2 linked regions of the Tribolium castaneum genome follow. The protein of the gene in region 2 interacts with the protein of the main gene of each other region in a pairwise test. Links are inferred from orthologs where the notes say so. Each region holds a gene or a part of one and is shown on either strand. Other genes may lie near its edges.

What was found. The genes of interacting proteins can lie anywhere in the genome.
Region 1: the proteins of slo (region 2) and alpha-Catr interact in a two-hybrid assay, tested with the Caenorhabditis elegans proteins (2 studies listed by BioGRID, with this or other methods). The link is inferred for Tribolium castaneum from reciprocal best matches to the Caenorhabditis elegans genes slo-1 and ctn-1.

The regions. Positions count from the first base shown.
Region 1 is NC_087394.1:28,275,378-28,281,937, reverse strand, and holds the start of alpha-Catr (alpha-catulin), read left to right. Parts: upstream 1-2,563; 5' UTR 2,564-2,646; coding exon 2,647-2,733; intron 2,734-6,560. Other genes in the region: uncharacterized protein Zcchc7, read left to right, coding at 1-494, 548-741, 1,216-1,353, 1,404-2,363. UniProt on the Caenorhabditis elegans protein: Required for slo-1 potassium ion channel clustering at presynaptic terminals and in egg-laying muscles; clustering of slo-1 mediates the intoxicating and sedatory effects of ethanol on worms.
Region 2 is NC_087400.1:8,503,149-8,509,565, forward strand, and holds the start of slo (calcium-activated potassium channel slowpoke), read left to right. Parts: upstream 1-2,523; 5' UTR 2,524-2,720; coding exon 2,721-3,044; intron 3,045-6,417. UniProt on the Caenorhabditis elegans protein: Potassium channel activated by both membrane depolarization or increase in cytosolic Ca(2+) that mediates export of K(+). Its activation dampens the excitatory events that elevate the cytosolic Ca(2+) concentration and/or depolarize the cell membrane.

The DNA of each region.
Region 1 (6,560 bases), on a different chromosome or scaffold from region 2:
GAGCCAAATGGAAGATGCAGGTGATAGTGTCTTGAAGAAGAAATCTAAGAATAAGAAAAAGTCGCGGACTGCGTCTCCTGAGCTTGAAGCAAATACCAAAAGTGAGCAAAAGTGTGAAGGTGTTGACGTTTTGCTCCCCAGTTTAAAAAAAGTAACAGAAACTGACGAAACAATTAAAAAGGAACATACAGTTAAGGAAGAACCAGAAGTTAAGGAAGAACCGTTGAAGATAAAGTCGCCGAAAGTCGTTGAAAGTGAGGAGTCTGCTATGGACGGGTTTCTTGTCGTTGATGAAACGTTTGCCACCACCACCGACATCAAAACTATCTCATCAGATTCCGATTCGATTTTATCTTCACTTGCTGAAGATCAAGACATTCAATTAATAAATTGTGAGGCGAAATTTGAACCTGACTGTACTGCGTCTACTTCCAAATCCGGTGTACTAAATCTGGCAAATTGTAGTGTCCAAGACCTTCAATTTGTGATGTCGAGTAACTTTGTTTAATTGTTTTGTGTCAGTAATCACGAAAATTAAAAATTGTAGATGATCCTAATCTTTGGACGATATTAGACAGGGATAGGTTTCCTATCAAGTCTCCTGTTGGTAAAAGGTGCAATAAATGCAAAGAGCTGGGTCACATAGCTCTCAAATGTCCAAACAAGCTGGAACCTAAGTGCAAGCTGTGTGGAGAAGGCGGGCATTTCGAACCTCGATGTCCTAACAAGATGTGTACTCAGGTGAGGGATAACGTCGGCTAAAATATTAGGAGGCGATTGAACGTAAATTTTCTACAATGTATGTCTGATAAAGTCGGATAAATACAATCTTTTTTTTTTTCTATTTTTGAGTTACGCATTTATTTTTAAATAAAAATCCACGTTAAAAAAATATTGACAGGTACTATAAAGGTCTGTGCTACAATCTATGCCATTATCATTATCCCGTTTTTTATGAAATCATTTTTCATTAACTAAATTTATCTTATCCAGTTTTGGCTATTATTTATTTTCAAAATTAAAATTCTTATTATTATTATATTTTTATTTTTTTTTATTTTTATATATTCAATAATTTTTAATAAAATAACCGTTGTGCTTTTTTGTCATAATTGTGTATGCTTAAATATTTAAATATAATACTGAATTACATGTCGCCCCCTAGTATTACTCTTCCGTATTTGGAGCGGACCGCAGACTAAACGCGATTTTTAGTGTGGCAAACGTAGTTACTACACCACAGCCTATTGCAGCTTGTGTTTCAAGCTACGAGATTACCAATGCCAAATTTGTTCCATGACTGGTCACGCACCTGAGACTTGCCCAGATCTATGGCGGCGCTACCATTTAACCGTAAGTACATATTTCTCGTAGGTTTGCATTCAATTAATTACTGTGTTTAGACCACTGAGGGTCCGTTGAAAACGTACTCTGGCCCTGCCCTGAAACCAAACTTGTGGTGTTCTGGGTGTGCCCAGCCAGGCCACTTGGAACACATGTGTGACTTTTACAAGTCGATGTATCCACCAACAGACCCGTTTATTAAAAACTATGATCAGGTGTATGATGATGAGAATGAGAATGAGCCACAGGAAGAGGCGCCGCAGCCAGATCCTCAACCGAATTTCGCACCGAACCCACCCCAGAATTATGTAATGCAAGGAGTCAACCAGGGACTTAACTATAACTGCAATTACGACCAATTTGCCAATGCGTTTATCCAAAATGGGATGTTTGTGGCCAACCAACAAAACTTCTACACTAATCAGTTCGCGCCGCAAGACGGTTACATGCAAGGGTATCCGCAATATTCCAACGCCTACACCAGTTTTTGTGACAACTTACCGAAATATATAAGTTTAGCTACTCCACAGCACACTGTGATAGCTACTCCACAGCACACTGTGATAGCTACTCCACAGCACACTGTCAATTTGGAGGCGCCTAGGCCTGAAATCCCTAGCCTAGAATTTGCGACCCCTGCTGAACGAAAAGTACACTGCAACAGCATGTTTTTTTCATCGTCGGGGAGATTGTTGCGACAATTTGTCAGTAGAGAGTTGGCGAAATTGTCCAAAATATCGTTCAATGTAAAGAGATATGTGACAGAATTGAAGAGGAGGCAGGTTCCTCGCGGTGCACGACGACGGGCAGAGTACTACGAGTTGGCCAATATGGTGCTCTTTGGGGTTCTCTGTTTAGGGGATGGGAAATTTCATCTGAACGCTCTGAAACAGCTCAAAATGGACAAGAGCAAGTTGAGTTGTTTCAGACGACAAAAATTGCATAGGGCGTACTGTTTTATTTTCGGATGTGAAAGGCACGACAGTGTAGACTATAATGAACTCATAAGCAGGATTTAATGAATTTTAATTTGCGATTTTTGAATAATTTTTTGTTGAAATAAATACGAATTTTCCGATCTTGGTGTTTTATTTCCAAGGAGTGCTCTTTAAGGGGGTTGCTAGTGTGCGAAAGGTTTGGCTTCCGATCGCGGGATGGCGCTGTTGACAGACAGCCAACTATGAGGTAATCAGCTGATCGTCGATGACATTATTTTCCAAAGCCGACTATGTATTATGACAGGAGGGAGAGAGACTATTGGAAAAACTATGTCTCTGACAGAGACAAACAGTAGTGTAGAAAATGGCAGCAGTAGGTACAACAAATTTTGATTGTTTAGAAATTAAGACACGTAGTATAGAACAAACCCTTCTTCCTCTTATTAAACAGGTAATTTTGTGTTAGCTGCTTTCTGTCATGTGAACTTTAGTTAGCACTTTATTTAGTTAACTTAGGTTTAGAAAATGTGTCTCGCGACATGGGTGTGCACTTTGACAGCTCTCAATTAACGTGCTAGCTCGCATAATTGAATATTGTTATGTATGAAAACATTGTTGCTGTTTATTTATAGCATTGTGTATAGATATTAGATGAACGCTATGCATAAAATAGCTCGAGTTTTTTCAAATAAAGCAGTTTGAGGTTATGTGTTTTGTTTATTTGAAACATGTGATTGTTTATACGCAAGCGTGCTTTATTTATTTATTAAACGCTGCCTAAATAATTCAGACGACGGGTTTGAACCAAAACAAGCCATGTGTCTGTTATTTAACGATTAATTCCTTCGTTAATTGATAATTGACGTTTGACGTCATAGCTTATTGACGTGGTGACAGGTATATAATAAAAAAACGCGCGATTTTATACGAAAAGAGAGAACAGTCTTCCAGTCTTTAAGATTTTCTCTTTGATAAAAAAGTAGCTCCATTCGCACTTTGCATAAATTGATATTCATCTAAAATGGGTCTTTCGTCCAATTTGAGAAGCCTATTTCTAATCAATAAAGTTAGCTTTATAAAGCCTGGGAGATCGTAAATGGGCTTTATGGCAGACTTTTATTGTGTGGAAATTGTGACGTTAACCGTTCTACAGGATTCAGATTGAAAAGTTGATAAGTCGAAATTGCTGCGGACATTCGGCGAAAGGGAGGTTTCTATTGATTTGCAAAAAAAACTTTGAAAAAATTTTTTTAAATACTCGCTAGCTGATGACTGATGAGTTAGAATAGCTAAGCTAACATATTTAATATATATTAAAAAATAAGTACTAATAATAACAATAGCTATTAGCATAATAGCTATTGAATAGTTTTAACTTTGTTCACTTCTTACCAAATCCATTCTCAATCTCAAATTTTAAGGGCAGTTAAGACAATATACCAAAAACTGCGTGTTTTTTTAAGTACATAAATGTACAATAATGTTGTGTAGAAAAAACATGAAGAAGGAGAAAAATCGCAACATAATGCCACTAAAATTAAATACTTATCCTGGAAAAATAAAATTCTAACTTTTATTTTACCGACTAAAATTTATTAAACACATGGACAGTAATAATTACTCCTAATTCAATTCTTGGAGATTGAAAAAACTACTGTCTTGGCGCAGAAATGATGCTTAAGTAATTATAAAACATAAAAGTAAAAATGAAATGTAAAAAAGGAAAAAAACACTATACCAGCTAGTGAAGACTGTGTTCGGCTTGAAGAGGAAAGACAAGAAGAGAAAAAGAGGAAATTGCTTAAAAAAAGATAAATGTGGAGAATATTTCCTCAAGAGTATTTTTAAATTAGGACAATATTTGCGTGAAACAACTAAACTATTAAAATTGCTGTTACTTTATGTAATTGCTAAAATCGTTGGTGAGTATACATTTCTCAAAATGTTTTTTTGAGAGTTTGCGAAAAATAAAATACGTACGAAAAATACTAAACGTAAAACTGATATTTATTAAAATAAAGTTTTAAATGAAGCTAGTTTTTTAAAATGAACTATGTGAAAAAGAAAAAGTACTTTCTGTACTGGTTAGTGATGACTTCTGCTTGAACAAAAGAAGCAAGAAGAGAAAAAGAAAAAAGCTGAAGAATTACTCAGAAAAATAAGATAGAAGTGGAGAAAGTCGTTGCTAAATGGTGGCAGTTTAGAAAAAAATATTTTAAACGCTGCAAGAAGTGTCAAGTTTTGGTTAAAATAACCTTGATTGGAAGCGTATTTTTAGTTTCAGATTACTATACTTAAATTTCTAAGAAAAAATGAAGTATAGCAGTCTTTACTAATGCGTATAACATCCAATCGTCATTGTCAAACGTTTGTAAATTTTTTTTTCTTACGATTATTATTATACTTTCTATTTTCTAAGTTATGAACACATTGACTGAAACTACGTAATTGGAAATATAAAAAAAAACTTGGAAGAGCGTTAATATACATTTTTCTAATATTTGTAAGAAAATAAAATAGCAAAAAATGAGAATTAACACACTAAACGTGTGATAGTTACATTTACTTAAATACTTATACGTATTTATACGTATAAAATTAACTACATGTGTACTACTTATACAGTTTGTGAAGTCAACCACTCCTCGCACAGTTATTCTGCCTGTAGTTTTGTTTTCCAGGCCGTTGCACAGTAATAGGTGGCGCTTTTGTTTATCTGAATCCTAAATTCTCTGTTTTCACTGTTTTAATGTGAGCAAACAAACGTTATCTACGTACATATGTTTCAAACAAAGGGTTGAAAAAGCTGGAATATCAAATTTTAGGTATACGTACTTATATTCGTAAGTGAACGGAAGTTTGTCTTACAAAACCATAAAATAAGGAGGAGAATAGATTTTTTTAAACTGACGCTCGAACAAAGCTTGTTTTTCAATGTGATGTAAACGAGATATTAATTAAGACAAGGAGATTGCTGTTTAGAAATATTTGCATGTAACAACGTCTTACATAAATTTAGAATTTTTATTACGAAAGTTTAAATTTTTGTTATCTAAAACTGAGACCTCATTAATTCCATAACGTTATTTCTGCAGCTATTCAGCAACAAACACTGTTCGGAGTCTACTCACGGATAACAACTTGCCAACTTTATTATTGTTGGAGTTGCTTATCAAACTTGATATTTTTTCTTTGCGAGTTTCAATGAATAATAAGCAGGTGCGTAGGCAGATGCATTTTTGCATATTTGAATAAAACATTAATTGTGTACGAGTAAGCGCCTGATTGTTTCATACCCAATTAATTTGAAAATAACAGTTGTGAAAGTGGGTATAAGTTAAGTTACGATTGTATGCTCATTCATCCACACATCCGGGATTTTTATTTATTTAGCGTGGGATTAATTCGTCAATTTGGCGAAGTTTCCTGAAATGAAAGCGATATGACAAATTCACAAGGATTTGCTCTGATCTTGAATCTGGCTCGGTGTGTTGGCAAACGCATTGACTGTTGACCATACGATTCAGGAAATCGCAACGATAAATCTTTCACTCGAATTCATTGCGTCCCTGTCGATTCTATCGATTTCCAGTGCCAATAAAGCACGCCTGATCTTCCATTTGCAAGGCTAATATTACCATAACTCGCGATAAACGATCGTCGAAATTAATTTTAACTGGAATTATAATCAATTGTGTATTTTATTAGACGTTCCTAATTTATTGCTCGTGACGGTAATAAACTAAACGGAAATTCCGGCTTGTCTGACATTACTATTTTTATCACGGAACATTCGTGATTGATCGAAGACTTAATTTACTGTTCAAACTTTGCCAATTTTACCCATAATGCGGGAATTTATAACAATGATCAAGGATTTTTCTGTGTGCATCATCTTTCGGAAGTTTCCCTGTGGCAGATTCATAAATCTTCAAACTATTCCTTTTGTGCGTCTTAATTGGAAAACTTTAATCCAAATTTTATGGATTTTGTGCAAAGCCGTACAAAGGCTTGACTATTTACATTTCTTTAATCAGCTGAACTTTACGGTCTTCGCCAATTGTGTGAAACTCTGTCATTCAGGAAGAGTTCAATGTCGTCTAATTTTGGCGTTTTATACTACGTGTGATGAAATCGGTTTTGTGGTCTAGTGAGCCATAAAAGTTGTGCCAGATTGATTCACAACGGATAGCTTCATGAATGGAGGAACTGTTTCAAATCATAAATTCAAAAATCGCTTGAATAATAAATTTCCACTTAACGTCTCCACTCTTAATT
Region 2 (6,417 bases):
ATAATCACTTTCCCAGAAACGGATTTTATATACAAAGGTTAAACGTCAAAAAGGGTGCATTTATTTCAAGAGATCTGTTTTATTTTCTTATTTGAGAAGGATTTATAAGAAAGTCCTAGAAGTATAAATTTTATCCTTAAACTCTTTCATGTGCAGCTAGTACAAGAACTTAGGAAAATTGTATTTGAACACAGATTAGAGTTATCTTTCTTTATCAGAACCTAAATGCAAGTAGACAACAACTTTACTCAGAAAATTTTATTCAGTGATGAAGTCCTATTCTCTAACAATGATAGTGCACAACTGCCACTACTGTGCTTAGAAAAATCCACTGTGGATATTTGAAAATTTCCAAGGAACTCTTTTGGTGAACGTTTGGTGTGGCCTCTCGCTTCTTTGTGAATCACATAGTTGGGCCTTTTCTCTACCTCGAAAAATAAGCAAGGCCAACATTTTGACTTCCTGTTTATTGTTGTAACTTCTGATTTTGAAAAAACTGTTTGCCTATCTTTGATGAAATCTTTCATTTTCATTACATTTTGTATTGGTATTTACACAGCAAAGACTTTTCTACTTTCTCTATCATTCTGCGAGAACTGAATGACACTAATGATCACTAATGATTCTTCTCTGAGCTGATGTCAGTGACATAAGATGGTAGATAACTTGGATTCGGTGTTGGGACACTTGCGTCTTTTTACCTGAAGTGGGTTAGATGCGCCCGATCCGGAATCAAATCTATTACCTAACTGTGACTGAGAGTCTGGTGGGTCACTTGCGCCCCCATATGCTCAGTACTTATGGAAAAACTGAACAAGAAAGATAGATATTGACAGAATTTTGAATCCTTTTTTTTATCAAATTTTGTAACAATTAATTCAATTCTCTAGTTGATTCAAAGATGGACAAAGGTGGTCCGACAATATGTAATGTAAAAACTTTTCTTTAAAGCGCCATTACGGAGTCAGTTGCATAAAGAAGTATTTCTGAATTTACCAGTTCCTAAAAAGTATTTAATTACTACGAGAGGTGAGCTGCGGCTAAATACCGTAATTTTTTAACATAAAAAATATGAAAAATTTAAAATTTTAATTTTTGAATTCTTTGACAAATCTACTGAAGCCCAACAATGTTTAAGGCGATCCCTGAGAACTGTCAAAATGATCAAAAATCCATAAGATCATACTTTTACACATATCTCAAAATCGACAACAATTTTCAACCAGAAACCATTGTACTGCCTTCATCTGGCACTTCAAACTAGATTTTTAAAGCGGTAATATTTAAAAAATCTTTTTCTCAGAGAAATTTTTCTAAAGGTTGTTTTTTCCTTGCTATTGCTAGTATCGGGTATCAATTTTAGCATGCAAATGATGTGCGTGAATGGTGGGTGTATGTTTTTCCGATCTGTGTAGATCTTGCGTTTGGCACCCAAGTCAAAACTTTATCAGATCAGCATACCCAAAAATACACGAATTCAATTCTAAATGGAAAATCTGTAGATTTGTGGGAAATTGATTCCTAATCATTTTGCTTTTTATTTGGTACTGCTCCGTTGTCGATTTTCTGGGATATACAGAGTGCTCAAAAACTGGCGCACCAACTCAGTGGTACGTTATTGAGAAGCAAGTGCAGATTATGGGAAAAATGTTGAAAAAATTCCTAAAGTCATATTTTAAAAATCTGGAGCTACAAACTTATTGTGTTTAATTTCTTTGGTTTTCATTATTTTTTATGATTTTATGTTTCATACCAGGTAATCGTTCCGTAACAAAACAATGAATAATTATTTTTAAATTTACTATCAGATTTTGGCAGTTTTTTTAATTTAAAAAAAATAAAATTCATCCAAAAAATCACAATGTGTAGATGTGCCAACACTGGGAATTATTTCCTAGGAAACTGTTTCAAAAATAATTTATTTTTATTGTTGCTCAAATTCTATTGCGATTATGACTGTTAGACAACGTTGCCACATATCATTTATCTAAAATCCGTTATTTATCAATAACGTTAATACAAAGAATGTTTTTACTATTTTTACCTTTATATGTAACCAGTTCTCTACCACACACCATTGAGTTGGTGCGCCAGTTTTTGAGCACGCTATATATAAAAGTAGGAACACATGTTTTTGGATCGTTTTGACAGTTCTTAGGGGCCGCCTTGTATTGTAGTTTATACACCGAAAAGACTTCTCTACTTTCTCTATCATTCCTCGAAAATTGAATGGCAATAATGATCATTCTCTGCGCTAATGTCGGAGTGACATAAGTTGATAACTTGGATTCAACTTGCTAATCCTAATTTAAATTGGATCAAAGGCATAAATGAAATATGTTTTTTTGATTGCATCGGCAGGTCGTCAGGCTCTTTATTTTATCCGAATCACTCTGTATGCCACTGCGTAAAGTGAGCCTGTGTTAAAAAAACTTGAAGAAAAATGTCGTGCGTCCACGCGAAGTCAAGTGGCTGTAGGTCTGTGTTGATCAGTTGTTTGCGGCGCGCCGCCTCTGTGTTGTCGTCTCGGCGCACGCCGCCAGGGCGTCCTTCGTATTGATTCCCGCATGATCCTGTATAGCAGCGGGGCGACGTCGGCGTCGCGTCAGTTGCGCTCGGAGCTGCTCGCCGTCGACAGCACGTCTCCTCTCCGTCGCGGATGCGAGCACCTCGGTGAGTGTACGACGACGGTGGCGCGAGTGGATGCCGCCTAGCGCGGGATGACGAGCGAAGAGGCGGCGACCGAGCCGCCCATCTCCAGCACCGCCACCCCGGACCCATGCCTCGACGAAAGGAAATACTGGTGCTTCCTGCTTTCGAGCATCTTCACCTTCCTGGCCGGCCTCCTCATCGTGCTGGTGTGGCGGCTGTTCGCCTTCCTCTGCTGCCGCAAGGAGGTGCAGTACGGGCCCAATGACCCGAAGCAGAAGGAGCAGAAGGCCGCCAGGCAGGGCAAGCAGGAGTTCGAGGGGACCTTCATGACGGAGGCCAAGGACTGGGCGGGAGAGCTCATTTCGGGACAGACCACCACCGGAAGGATATTGGTAAGAGACGAGCTGTCTGCCGACATGACGCAAGATGGGGGAGTTACGCCCACCGGGGGCAAATCACCAAATTACAACGGCTTTTTTGGGGAAAGGTTAACACGATTTATTGATTCGATCGAAAATCGATAATGGAAAGAAAATTCTGATACTTTGACTAAATGTCGTGAAGAGCAAGAAAATATTTGACAGTCTGACCCAGATGGCGCATTCATTGCTAACATATACCTACATATGGAACTCATTCAGCTAATCCCAGGACATATTTCCAGTTTATATAAATTCAAGCTCCATGCAGCAAACAAAATTATGGTAAATTACGTCTTCCTAACTAATGACGTGCATCATTATGACCTCAATGTATGACACAAATACAGCAAGTCTCTGCCAACATTATAAAAAATTTAGGTGAAAAAGGTTATTTTGATACGAATTGACTACAAAAAGGACAATTATTTACCAGTCTATTCTAAACCTTGTCAAATCAAAAATATCAATAACATGAAATCAAACATTTTTGAATAGGAACATGCAGTGGCGTATTTAGGTCCATTGACGCCCCTGCCTAAGACAACATTTATTGATTAATTTATAGAATAAGAACAAATGTACAAACCCCGTAAATGAACAATTTTTATTAACACAGAGAGATTTTTGTCGTACTTTGTAATACGGTGCGTTCAAAAAGCCTTTAGATCAACTCTTGCTGTGGAATTTAGATTGATAGATTATCGTTTTATTCTATTGAAGCTGTTAAAGTTCGTAGTAATCGTAAGTAATCAAAATACGTTCAAAATTGCGTCGTAATAAAGCGATCAGTAATAAATTCGATTTTGATCAGTAAAAAATAATAATTTTCGCACAGTAAAAAATTTAAATGACAAGTAAACTACGCTCAGTATTTTAGTAAAATTCGTACAGTTTAAATAATAAACGCCCAGTAGCTAGCTTGCAGGCTGGGGCGAATTCTACACTCTCTAGTTTTGAGATGCTATTATTTACTGCGCATTTATTATTTTTACTTTGCATCTATTATTTTTACTGTGCATTTATTATTTTTACTGCACAGTTATTATTTTTACTGTGCATTTATTATTTTTACTATGAAATTGTTATTTTTACTGTGCATTTACTATATTTACTGTGGACTTATTATTTTTACTGTGCATTTATTATTTTTACTGTGCAATTGTTATTTTTACTATGCATTTGTTATTTTTACTCTGCAAATATTATTTTAACTGTGCAGTTATTATTTTTATTGTGCATTCATTATTTTTACTGTGCATTTATTATTCTTACTATGCAATTGTTATTTTTACTGTGCATTTATTATTTTAACAGTGCATTTATTATTTTTACTGTGCATTTGTTATTTTACTGTGCATTTGTTATTTTTACTGTGCATCTATTATTTTTACTGTGCATTTATTATTTTTTTTGTGCATTTATTGTTTTTACTGTGCATTTGTTATTTTACTGTGCATTTGTTATTTTTACTGTGCATTTATTATTTTTACTGATCAAAAATACTTGTCGTTTGAATAAAATACTGTGCATTTAATTTGTACTTTTCAAAATTTCACAGCAAGAGTTGATCTAAAGACTTTTTGAACGCACTGTACAAATCACCCTTTAAAATTTTAAGTATCACTTCTTTTGTGAAACTTTAAATGAACTGTTAAATGCATAAACTGCTAGATATTGATGTTTTAATATACATCTTTATATTTATATTTATATTTTATATTTTTATTTATATTTATCTTTATATTTTTTCAATCACTTTATTTGAACGAAATAGCAAATTCAGTTCTCCAAAATTCAAGAGAGTTTTAAAAATTAAATTAAAAATCTGAAAAAATTCTTCGTAATGAAACCAAATAAATCTGTGGTTTTCTAGGATATCTTTTAAAAAAATACCCTGAAATTAATAAAAAATTTTTTTTACGAAAAACCTACACATATTTACGACTTTTTTTGTATAAAACGAGTATTATGTTGTCGTTGACTTTTTTCAAAGACATTTAGGTCACAAAGCTACAACTAAAAACTTCTTAAAACTCATTAATCAAACAATTAAGAACTTAAGAAGTAAAAAATGCGACGATAACTAAAAATTTGATCAATTTATTAAAGCTGCACTGGGCTATTGCTCATTTAGCCCATATGTAAATATGCTTCTGGGTTAATGGTTTGTTTTTAGAATGTTGTCGAATTATTAATTTGCCCATGTAATTGCAGGCACAATACTTTTTTTAATTGGCGTTCAGCTTCCAAAATTAGTTGCAGCAGTTTTATCGATTATATAGATGACCCAGAACTTGCATCAGTCATTTCATTAGCAAAATTAATAATTACTTTCCCAGATTCGTATTTTATAAACAAAGGTTAAAGGTCAAAAAAATTGCATTTATTTCAAGAGATCTGTTTATTTTTCCTTATTTCTTTATTTGAGAAGCATTTATAAGGAAATCCTGACCTAAAAAACAGTAAATTGAAATAACAGTGTCTTATTTGACATTTCTTCAAATCAGTCAAACTAATAATTACTTCTTGAGTCAATATAATCCAAGCCTTTTGTTTCTAAGGATATTTTAATCGCCTTATCACCTTAGAAACGATAATCATATTGAAAAGCAAGGATAACTATATTTTCTATGGTTTTCCAGTTTGAAACACGCTATAAATTTTAAGTTGGAATTAAAAAGAGCTCTAATTTTTTACCTGAAATTAAAAAGGGCAAAATTTTAGGACCATTTAAGAATTTTTTTATTTGCGCCATTTATTTAAGAATTTATAATTCTGACATAAAAAACAGTAAATTAAAGTAAAAGTGTCTTTTCAAAAACTAAGCTTTTTTTTAACTTCTTTAAATTAGTCAAAGTAAATTGGGTTTTAACACTTTTTTAAATTCAAAAAACTTTATAAAAAATTTTAGCCATAGAGTACACAAATTTTAGGTAGAAACCGAAGAAACTAAATTTTACTGAGATTTAAGGAAAGAAACTCCTGTGTACCGAATAACTAATAAGAGGTTTTTTATTTGGAGGACCAAACGATCGTTTTTTTAAACCTGTTTCTAATACAAGATAATTGTTAAATTCATCATTACCTTTATTAGACAATAAGAGGTCGGAATTAAAGTCTTAACTTAAAAGAGCAGTGAACTAAAGTAAAATGTAAGTTTTGATAACAAACTGTTATTTTTTTTCTAAATTTTAAGCTCCTATAATCTTTCAGTTGATAACAAAAAAACTCAAAATTTTACGGATATTTACAGAAAAACTGTTTACAAAAAGAATTTTTTTATATACAGAATATAAAAAAAACGTTTTTAAAACGAAGTTGTTAAACACAAATTTGATTTAAA